Linked DNA regions of Oryctolagus cuniculus. The protein of the gene in region 2 purifies or fractionates together with the protein of the main gene of each other region. This does not show direct contact. Links are inferred from orthologs where the notes say so. Each region holds a gene or a part of one and is shown on either strand. Other genes may lie near its edges.

The links. The genes of interacting proteins can lie anywhere in the genome.
Region 1: the proteins of KIFAP3 (region 2) and KIF3B purify together in Homo sapiens (co-immunoprecipitation; 7 studies listed by BioGRID and IntAct, counting the BioPlex papers as one, with this or other methods). This does not show direct contact. The link is inferred for Oryctolagus cuniculus from reciprocal best matches to the Homo sapiens genes KIFAP3 and KIF3B.
Region 3: the proteins of KIFAP3 (region 2) and KIF3C purify together in Homo sapiens (co-immunoprecipitation; 3 studies listed by BioGRID and IntAct, counting the BioPlex papers as one, with this or other methods). This does not show direct contact. The link is inferred for Oryctolagus cuniculus from reciprocal best matches to the Homo sapiens genes KIFAP3 and KIF3C.

What each region holds. Positions count from the first base shown.
Region 1 is NC_091442.1:25,496,229-25,500,003, forward strand, and holds part of KIF3B (kinesin-like protein KIF3B), read right to left. Parts: intron 3,211-3,775; coding exon 3,105-3,210; intron 1-3,104. UniProt on the Homo sapiens protein: Microtubule-based molecular motor that transport intracellular cargos, such as vesicles, organelles and protein complexes. Uses ATP hydrolysis to generate force to bind and move along the microtubule. Plays a role in cilia formation.
Region 2 is NC_091438.1:27,937,704-27,941,478, forward strand, and holds part of KIFAP3 (kinesin-associated protein 3), read right to left. Parts: intron 3,245-3,775; coding exon 3,090-3,244; intron 502-3,089; coding exon 446-501; intron 1-445. UniProt on the Homo sapiens protein: Involved in tethering the chromosomes to the spindle pole and in chromosome movement. Binds to the tail domain of the KIF3A/KIF3B heterodimer to form a heterotrimeric KIF3 complex and may regulate the membrane binding of this complex.
Region 3 is NC_091433.1:176,830,241-176,834,015, reverse strand, and holds part of KIF3C (kinesin-like protein KIF3C), read right to left. Parts: intron 3,457-3,775; coding exon 3,338-3,456; intron 2,962-3,337; coding exon 2,845-2,961; intron 2,574-2,844; coding exon of another isoform or gene 2,507-2,573; exon of another isoform or gene 1-2,506.

The DNA of each region.
Region 1 (3,775 bases), on a different chromosome or scaffold from region 2:
TCCTGGCTTTAGCCGTGGCTCAGCCCTAGCTGTCGTGGACATCTGCGGAGTGAACCAGCAGACAGGAGATCACTGTCTGCTCTCTGACTTTCAAATAAATGAATAAAAAATGTTACAATAAGTACTAAAATCAGATTGGCCCTGCCTCAGGCTTGGCTGTGGAGACATCCTGTGGTGAGCCTTTCCTGGACACTGAGACAAGCATACTGAGGGAAGAGCACCCATGACTACGCATGCGACCTTCTCCTCTGGCTTTTCTCAGTGGGGCCTGGCCCCGGGGCTCCACAGGGGCGGGAGGGGCCGCTGCAGGAGAAAGGTGGGCAGAGGCAGTGACTCCACTGATCAGTTTTAGATGCTAAGCCCATGCATAAAACCCTCCCTGATGAAGCAGGTCCACTCTGAGAACACCTGACAGTCACAGCTTTAAAGTCCACCTTTGAGGGCCGGCGCTATAGCGCAGCAGGTAAAGCTGCCGCCTGCAGCGCCGGCATCCCATAGGGGCGCCAGTTCGAGTCCTGGCTGCTCCACTTCCGATCCAGCTCTTTGCTGTGGCCTGGAAAAGCAGTAAAAGATGGCCACCCTTGGGCCCCTGCACCACATGGGAGACCCAAAAGAAGCTCCTGGCTCCTGGCTTCGGATCGGTGAAGCTCTGGCCATTGCAGCCATCTGGGGAATGAACCAGCGGATAGAAAATCTCTCTCTCTCTGCCTTTCAAATAAATAAATAAATAAATCTTTTAAAAAAATAAAGAAAGTCCACCTCTGGATTAGGTCAGTCCCAGAAAGCCACATAGGACTGGACTTGTGGGCTTCAAAGTCACGTTTCTGGCTGCAGCCATGAAATGACTGGCAAGATACGCCCATGTGAAACTGCTAGAAAAACGCCTCTGAGCATTCCGACACCTACCTAGTCTTCTACAATACATACCCCACCTAATAAATCTTTTTTTGTTTTTGCTTTCTTTTAAATAACTTGGGGCCTGGAAGAATGGCACCTGAGAAATTAACTAATGTGTTTTGCTCTGGCCACCAAAGGAGATTAAAAAACATTTTTAAAATTTTATGTTAGGGGCCGGTGCTGTGGCACAGCGGGTTAATGCCCTGGCCTGAGGCACTGGCATCCCATATGGGCGCCGGTTTGAGTCCTGGCTGCTCCACTTCTGATCCAGCTCTCTGCTGTGGCCTGGGAAAGCAGTAGAAGATGGCCCAAGTCCTTGGGCCCCTGCACCCACATGGGAGATCCGGAGGAAGCTCCTGGTTCCTGGCTTCGGATCGGCGCAGCTCTGGCCGTTGCAGCCATCTGGGGAGTGAACCAGCCAATGGAAGACCTCTCTCTCTCTCTACCTCTCTCTGTAACTCTGTCTTTCAAATAAAAAATATTTTTAAAAAATTTATGTGAAAATCTTCCATTATAAAAATAATACAAGATCCCTGTTGATGGTTTTAAAATACAGAGAAACAAAAAGAGGAAAACTCAGGGGGCAACTTTTGGGCGCAGCAGTGAACATTACTGCTGGGATCACATATCCCATACCAGAATGTCCACGGCAGAGTCCCAGCTCCGCTTCTGATTTCAGCTTCCTGCAGGTGCACACCTGAAAGGCAACAAGTGATGGCCCAAGCAGCTGGGGACCTGTCACCCAACCGGGAGACCTGGATTGAGTTTGAGGGTCCTGCTTTGGCCTTGGCATTTAGAGAGTAAACCAGCAAATAGGAGTTTTCTGTCTCCCTCGTTCTTTCTGCCTTTCAAATAAATAAAAATAAATTTTGAAAAAGAAGAAAAGTTAAATTGAATATACTTCCACCAACCAGAACTAACCAGTTCACACTTTGATGCACTTTATACCAAACTTTATAATTCACATATACACTTCCAATTCAACTTGGTTTGCAACTTAACTATAGGTTGTGTCCCCGAGTTCATCCATTTACAGCTTCTGGAGCTGAGAGCAACAGAACTGACTGCCCAGAGGAGATGGAAGAGAGCAGTCCACACTGGGTACAGTCTAGCACACAGTGAGTGTTTATAGCCAGAAGCTTCTATGGCATTTTAAAATAATTATTTGAGAGGCAGAGACAAAGAGCGAGATGCAGGGAGCGCTCCTATCTGCTGCTTCACTCCTCAACTGCCCACATCAGGCTGCAGCTGGCAGCCAGGACTCAATCCAGGTCTCCCACGTGGACGGCAGGGACCCAAGCGCTTGAGCCACCTGCTGCCTGCCAGAGAGTGCACTAGCAGGAAGCTGGAATTAGAAGCAGAGCTGGAACGCAAACCAAAGGCCTCCCACACGGCATGCAGGTGTCTCCAGAGGGGTTCGTAACTGCTACGCCAGCGCCTGCCTCTCCCATGGCATTTTTATTGTAAAATATTTTAGGTCGTTAAATAGTCCTGTTGTGTCATCTTAAGTGACCACACGATGGACACATGTAATGTTGCATGGAAATAGCTAAAGTTCTTCAGCACAGGTCCATCTCCTGTTGCTAGACATCAAGGTTCCTCCCACGGAGCCACTCGGAAGCTCACTGTTAACAGCTACGGCCACTAACAACAGCATTTGTACGCTCCTCCTTCCCTGGTTCCAGTTTTCCAAATCTCATTCTATTTTACCTTTTTATTTATTATTATTGTTATATACTTATCATTGGTTCTTTTTTTTTTAAGGATTTATTTATTTATTTGAAGGTCAGAGTTACACAGAGAGAGGAGAGGAGCGGCAGAGACAGAGAGAGGTCTTCCATCCAATGGTTCACTCCCCAGATGGCTGTAACGCCCAGAGCTGAGCCAATCCGAAGCCAAGAGCAAGGAGCTTCTTCTGGGTCTCTCATGGGGGTCCAGAGGCCCGAGCACTTGGGCCATCTTGTACTGCCTTCGCAGGCCATAGCAGAGAGCTGGATCAGAAGTGGAGCAGCCAGGACTCAAACTGGCGCCCATACGGCATGCCGGCACTGCAGGCGGCGGCTTTACCTATCATTGGTTGTAATTATCATAAAGGCCTTAAGTATCTCTGCAGGGTTCCCACTCTATGGCTCAGTAAAATGCTGCCTGAGGGCCCACACAAGTCTGAATCCCTCTGAGAGGACGAAAGCCAAGGACAACCTTCTCACCCGGTATCGGGCCTCCGGACGGATCATCATGGACATTCTCGCGTGCTGGCTCAATGGCCTCTTGTATCCCACGGCGGAGACCGGCCGCTTCATCATCTGCTGATTCCTGGGGACAGGGTGCAGTGGTGAGGGGCCTGGTGGGAGTGTGGCTAGGAGCCCCCAACCAGTCTGTGGATCAAGCTCTCAGAAGACTTAGCCAGGGAGAAAGTGAAGCAAGCAACTCCCTGGGCTGAGGGCCGACACAGTGGGCCAGGAGCTGCTTCTACCATCTGCAGGAGTTGTTTTCTGACTCCCACGTGAGCATCATGCATTAGTAAGCTGGGAGGGGTCTCATCATCCAGACAGCAGACACAGAGCATTGCTGTCCACTCTCCTGGCCTTCCCAGTGGACCCAGACTGACACACAAGGTAACACTTGTTTGGCCTGGCATGCTGGGTAAAGAGATAAGCAGGGACTTGGGAAAGGTCCTTAGCTTACTAGTGACAAAGTCTCCCAATTCCTAATACCACACTCACCAAACTCTTACCTCGCGGACTTACAGCAGCCGTGCAGTCAAAAATGCAAGGGGCTCGGAGTTTAAATGAATCAAACTGTCTCACCACCTTGGGCAGGACCAGCTTATCAACCTTCTTCCCCTCCGCCCCACCTTACAGGCCACTGCTTAAAGTAA
Region 2 (3,775 bases):
TTGTGATCAGCATACTGCGCTTTATAAAAACAGACAAATTTGCAAAGAACCTACAGCAGTTATCTTTTTATAAAGGAGAATATTAGCTTTTAGGGTATAAAGACTCTAATTCAAAAGTATAAACCATATAATACGATAGAGCATATGTAAACTCTAAAATTTGTTTATCAATATAAAGTATCTCACATATAATTCAAAGTAACTTGAATCTATTACAATATATTTAACAATATTTCAAAATATATTGTAACATTCAATTATGCTTCAAAGTACAACCACTAACTTTTGTGCTTATCAGTAAAATACTGACTTCTACCTTTTTCAGGTCTTCTAACTTCAACAAGTTAAAATTCCACTTCTGACTAATGTGATTGAATGCATTATTTTTTGTAAAAGGCAATTTCATAATCAGTACTCTATTAGATCAGAATACATACAGTCTTACCTCCATTCCTTCAAAAGGAGGTGGATCTTTAGGCTTGCTTGATTTTTCTTTTTTTTCTGTAAGAAGATATTTTTTAATCAAGAGAATTAGGTTTTCAAGGTTTTGGGGTAATTATTACCCACCTCAGTTTTACTCTAGCTAAGCTTGGAATATTAAAAATATTTTATGAAATCTGTTTTCATGTATGAAAAATGCTCATCTATAACCCATCTTTTCTAATGAGAATAAAATCAATAACTAATATTCAATTTATGTTAGAAATTTTAACTTCCTCCTTGGTTAACTTTTGGAGTACACAATAAGACTTGCCAACAGAAGGCAAAAGAGTCAATTTTAAGTATCCCTTTTTTTTCTTCTTAATTCAAGTTCAAGTTGGGAAAGGAAAATTAATAAAGAAAAGAAAATGATATGACCTGAGTAAAATAAAAACTAAAGTGAAAATTGAAAAATAATTGATTGATAAATTTATAACCTAATTTTTAAAGGTTTATTTTATTTATTTTGAAAGTCAGAATTACATTAAGACAGAGATTTCCATTTGCTTGGTCACTTCCCAGATAGCTGCAATGGCCAGAGCTGTGCCAGGCCAAAGCCAGGAGCCAGGAGTTTCATCTGGGCCTCCTACATGGATGAGAGGTTCAAATGCTTAGGCCATCTTCCACCGCTTTCCCAGACCATTGGCAGGGAGCTGGATCAGAAGTGGAGCAGCCAGGACATAAATTGGTGCCCATAATGGTGTTGGCATTGCATACGGAGGTTTTACTTACTATGCTATAATGCTGACCCAAAAATCTATATGTGCTAATTTAATCCTCATTTATTTCTAAATAAATATAGTCACATCCAAAGGCATCGAACATGCTGTCATTAAATTATATTGAATTAATTGGTTAATAGCATAATTTCATTTTCTAACATAACTTTTGTTTGCTCTGAAAATTGAATGAAAGGGTTTTCACTAGTTTAAAGAAATTCATATTTCTCTATAAATGCCTTCATAATTACATTAAAATGGCACTAGGAAATGTCACAATTGAGTACATTATGCGACATAAGTATATACAAAGTTTAAGGACTATTGTGTTTACTTTACTCACTTTAAATTTATTTGAAGACACTATCATTCATCATTCATTTTCATTTCAAAATATCACAAAATATTTGCTTATAAAAAATATTCCTTTACATTTCCTGACCTAGGTAGCACTTACTATCAACAATTAACAAGTATAAATGAAGTGTAAGCTAAGTGAGTAGAAGGAATCAAGTTCAAAATGACTAATTTTGCTTTTAAATAAATTTACAGCCATTCAACTTATTCAACACATATACAATGATAATATGATATGTATTAAGCATTATATTGGGGACTAATAAAATGATGATATGTATTAAGTATTATATTGGAGACTAATACATACAATAAGTATTAAGTATTATATTAGGGACTAAATTTACATACATATCATGCACAAATTATTTATTTTCTGTAAAAGAAGAGAGGGCTTGATTAATTTGACAAAAGTCCAAGTTGCTGGCCTTGTGCCATAGCAGATAAGGATGCCACCTGTGACACCTGTATCCCATATGGACGCCAGTTTATGTCCTGGCTGTTCCATTTTCCATTCATCTTCCTGCTGATGGCCTGGAAAGAGCAGGGGAAGATGACTCGAGCATTTGGTCCCTTGTTACCCATGTGTGAGACCCAGATAAGACTGATGGCTCCTGGTTGCAGGTTGGCCCAGCTGTGGATGTTGCAGCCATTTGAAGAGTGAACCAGTGAATGAAAGATCTGTCTGTCTCTCTCTGTAACTCTGACTTTCAAATAAATAAATCTTTAAAAGAAAATCCAAACAAAATCTCCTTTCATTTCCCCTCTACTTACCACAATCAAAATCTGAGCAATGGCGTGATATTTGAAGAGCACGGTATTTCAGAATTCATCAATGTTGAAAGATATGTACGTTTAGCAAATATTATAAAATGGAATAACTGGGCATTTGATAATGTGGAACAACTTTTCATTAAAGTGGTTTTGTTTTTTCATTTAGATTATTTGACAATGTCTTCTCTAAATAATTATCTCAGCTCTATCATCTTAATAGATTGGATCTTTAAAGGAATTCAGGATAGGTGAATGGCAATAGACATACTGAAGAATGAAAATGTGCTATTTTCCTAAGAAATATTCATATAAATTCTATCTTTATATTTTTAACTTTTAAATACTTAATCCATTGGAACTATAAATCAAATGTAATTTAAAAATTTTGAACACAAAAGTTTAGATGGATCAAGGAAACAGGTTTGTCGATTCCAAATTTTCTCACTTCTTCACTTTTCTCACTTTCTTCACTGTCTACTTCAATTATTCTAGAATCAGTAAAACAGACATTTGTTTTTTATTAATATTTCAGTTAAATGTACAGATATAAAGTAAAACAAAATTAGAGCATTTTATGTGGAAGCATCTAATGTAAAGGCTGGCATATTGGAAACAAATATTTTTGCTTATTATTTCATTTGCTCACTTACTCACAACATTGGTAAAAGAAATATCCTACCTAACTTTCAAAAGTGTCAAAAGTACAAACTCTAGTCAACTACTCTGGTTTTGCATTAAAGTAAGAATTCTTCTTCTTACCTTTTCCTGACAATGAGTCTCGGCGGTTCTGTAGATAGTACAACAGCTGTTCTACCTCATTGAGTTTTGAAGGATGAATGAGCTTACATTCTTCAACTACTTTCCGTGCCAGGGAAGTTATATCTGTGTTGGCATTGAGACTCTTTAGACGTATGCTGCAAGTATATCAGAGTTTTCCAACTCAGTATTATAAAAGTAGGTGATAGCTTCAATAATACTACTTTAAAATTATTTAGAGATTATAAATTATTATAGAGTCTACCTGTAGCTGGCCATAGACTTACTAAAATATAATAAACTATTAGATATAGTTAGGCTTAGAAAATAAAAAGCAATGATTTTCTTAGAGCTGGACAAAAAAAAAATAAGACAAGGAACATAAAATTTTTTTCTGACTCTCCAGGTAGTACAGCATATATAAAGGTCTTGTTTTAAGGAAATATTTCTGATAAAATATATAGTCTTCTGTCATTTTTGGATATGAAAATTCATAGTGCCACGAATTTTCTTGACTATATCTACAATTCTTTTCTTCAGTAAAGACAAGACAAAATATTGACACTTTCAGATTCAGTTGCTCTGGTGGTAATTATACAGAAAGTAGAACAGAAAAAAAAAGTGAAATTTATTTTAAAGCCTATATGAGGAATGCTGAGGCACAAATGAATGTATTTTATACTTAAGCT
Region 3 (3,775 bases), on a different chromosome or scaffold from region 2:
GTTGTGGTATAGTGGGTAAAGCCACCATCTGCAGTGCTGGCATCGCACATGGGTGCTGATTTGTGTCCTAGCTGCTTCATTTCCAATCCAGCTCCCTGCTAATCCACCTGGGAAAGCAGCAGCAATAGCCCAAGTGCTCGGGCCCACTGCACCCACATGGGAGCCCCAGATGAAGCTCCTGGGTCCTGGCTCCTGGCTTCAGTACGGCCCAGCCCTGGATGTTCTAGCCATTTGGGGAGTGAACCAGCAGATGGAAGATCTCTCTCTCTCTCTTTCTAACTCTGCCTTCCAAATAAATAAATAAAACTTAAAAGAAAAAAAAGAGGCATGAAGAAACACGACAATGGGGAAGAGGGGATTATCACAAAGGACATTGTTGGGGAACAGACAAAAATTAAAAGTAAACTCACACTATGTTATTCTAGAATCCCCATCCCCTGAAGTGGATTATTGCACTGCAGTGACCTAAAAGAGCGTCTTCATTCTCAGGAAATGCAGGCAAGGGGCCAGGCGGTCCACGACTCAATGCCAAATGATGGGGGGGGGGGCAGTAAGGGAAGAATTAATAATGTTGCAAAAGTGTTAACAATTTGATGAAGGGCTCAAAGAAATTCTTTGTACTATTTTTTTTTTTTTAAGATTTATTCATTTGTTTACTTTGAAAGGCAGAGTTATACGGAGAGGGGGAAACAGAGAGAGAGAGAGAGAGAGAGAAAGAGAGAGAGAGAGAGAGAGAGAGAGGAAGAGATAGCTTCCATTTGCTGGTTCACTCCCCAAATGGCCACAATAGCTGGGGCTGGGCCAGGCCAAAGCCAGGAAGTGGGAGCTTCTTCTGGGTCTCCCGCATGGGTAGCAGGGACCCAAGCACTTGGACCATCTTCCACTGCTTTCCCAGGCGCATTAGCAGGAAGCTGGGTCAGAAGTGGAGCTGTCAAAACTCAAAGCAGTACTCATATGGGAAGCACACATGCCAGGTGACAGCCACACCAGCTGAGCCACACAAGCCCCAGAACTTTTTTTTTTAAGATTTAATTATTTGAGAGAGAGAGAGAGAGTCCACCTGCTAGTTCACTTCTCAAATGGCCTCAACAGCCACATCTAAGCCAGGCTGAAGTCAGGAGCCAGGAATGCCATCTGGGTGGCAGGGCCTAAGTACACTATTGCTTTCCCATGGGTATTAGCAAGGAAAGGGATCAGAAGCAGAGCAGCCAGTACCATAATATGGACTGCCTGCATCACAAGCAGTGGCTTAACCTACTGCACCACAATTCTGGCCCCTCTTTGTATTATTCTTACGTTTCAAATTAAAATGTTAAAAAAAAAAAAAAAAAGAATGTTGGGCCAGAGTTGTGGCACTGGGCTAAGCCACCACCTGTGATGCCAGCATCTCACATAGGCATGAGTTCAAGTCCCAGCTGCTCCTTCTGATTCAGCTCCCTGCTATTGTGCCTGGGAAAGCAGTGGAGGGGAGGTCCAAATACTTGGGCCTCTGCCACTCATGTGGGAGACCCGGATAAAGCTCTTGGCTCCTGGTTTCAGTCTGGCCCAGCTTTAGCTATTCAGACCATTTGAGGAGTGAACCAGTGCATGAAGATTTTCTCCTCTCTCTTTCTCTCTCTCACTTTGTCTTCCAAATAAATAAAAATCAATCTTAAAAAAAAAGTCACCTTACAGCCTCGCCTCTCACCCCATCTGACACTCAGCATACTGATGGCATGACTACAACCAATGTAAAAAAATTTCCCCCACCTGCAAGCTTGCAAGCCAGGCACTTGCATGAGCACCAGATAACCAACAGAGCAGAAACCCCACCAGCATCCGCCTCTAGCAAGCCGCACTGCAGCAGTGGGGTCGAAGCCTGGCCTCGCGGCAGTCACCTGGACGCCTTGAGCAGGAGGAAACCACAAACCATGAGCCCTGAGATGTAGCAAGAGCCTGCAAGTGAGGCTGTCTGTAGCCCCGCCTCACGGGCAGTTCTGGCTGTGGCCAGGGTGAGGAGCTCTGCAGCACACGGCGTACGGCTGAGTCCCTGCTTTGGTTAGGAAGGCGGGTTTGAGTCCAAGATGACAGCAGTGGAAAGTCCTCTACCGGTGGACTTGGCCCTTACACACCTGTGCAGGGTCACGGTGGCTCAGCCTTTCAGGAACTGGATTAAGCAGGCATCCAGTGCTCCCATGAGAAGCTCCAGACCTCTTGCCAGCTTCCCATCCCAGATTTGGGGACTTGTGCCCTAGCTTGGCAGTCCTAGGATAGGGAGAGCGAAGCATCTTCCAGAAGCGCCTTGCTGTCCAGCCTCTGAAGCGGACAGTGGCTCAGCTGGGGGAGGCAGTACCTCCGCTGGGCTTGAATAGCCTATTGGCTTGCTATTCAAGGCCACCAGCAGAGGGCACTGCACACCCAGCCAATGGACGCAGCTGCCCATCAGCGCTAGGACGCGGAAACAGGTGGAAATGCTGACTCACCCAGCTGAAACCGGCTGGAGAGGCTGCATGGCACCTCTGCCATGTCACGATCCAGTTACTTCTCTGTATTCCCACTGGACTGCGAGCCGTCTGCAGGATCTCATGCAGTACCTGACACACAGTAGGGCTCGGTACATGCTAGCTACAGTTGCTGTGTTTGGCACCTGCACCCCAGGCCAGTGCATCTCATTTCTTTTTACAGAACACCCCTCCTGCATGGAGATCCCTGCACACTGGGTCCCAAGCGTCCTCCAGCTGCGTCCTCCCTAGCTCTTCCCCCTGCCACACAACACCTGTCTCCCTGCAGGCTGGGCCTCAGGCCCCTGAGCAGCCCCAGGCCAAGCCTGCCAAGCCCTGGGTGGACACCAGGTAGGGGACTCACGCTCCAGCTGGCACCAGCGGCTGGAACTTCCACTGCTCCTCCTCGCAGTCCAGGAAAAGGCGGTTCATGATCTTGTTCTTCTCCTCGGGGGGGATGAAATTCTCGATGATCAGGTACCTGCAGGCGGGACAGAGGTGGGGATGCAGACGGCAGTGCAAGGCTGCCTAGGGCCTGGGGGCTGAAGGGTCAGAGCAAGGAGCGGAGAAGGTGGGAAACCAAAAGAGCTGGGGGAAGGGGTCCTTAACGTCTTAAAAAACACACTGAATGCAAAGGTTGAAGGTGTGGGGCCAGCACCCAGCATGCACTGGGGCTCAACAGATGCAGACAGCAGAGATGGCGGAAGCTGCAGAGGTGGGCCTGTCCCTGTCTCTCAGGCACACCTCACTCCTTCCACATGGACCTGGGCGTGAGGGCACCGTCAGAAGGGGGCCTCTGGGAAAAAGAAGCATCTGGCAGGGGACCCAGAGCAGTGGGGAGCAGCGGGGGCCCCTACTTGAGCTTCAGTTCCCGGGTCTGCTCGTTCTGCGCCTCCTCCAGGTCCTGCCGCACGCGGATGTACTCGTCGTGCTGGTCCTGGATCTCCGCCTTCACCGCCTGCAGCTTGGCGTAGAGCTGGGTGGGGACACAGGCAGCTCAGAGGCTGCTCGGGGCTGCAAAGGGGCTCCGGTCCACAGGCTGGGCCCTGAGGACGCTGGGGAGCCCGGCCCGAGCTGCCCGCTGCTGCCCCACCCACTGGGAATCTGGCCCGGCCACTCAGAGGGCTGCCCTGTGCCCCTTCACTGAGCCGGTGGCCCCGACCTGCCATCCGCACCAGAGATGCTCAGACTGAAGGGAACTTTGGGTCTGACCTTTTTTACAGATGAGGAAGCTGAGGCTTAGATTTGGCCAAGATCTGGCTGACTTGTGCAAAGAGCAGGAACTGGGACCTGGG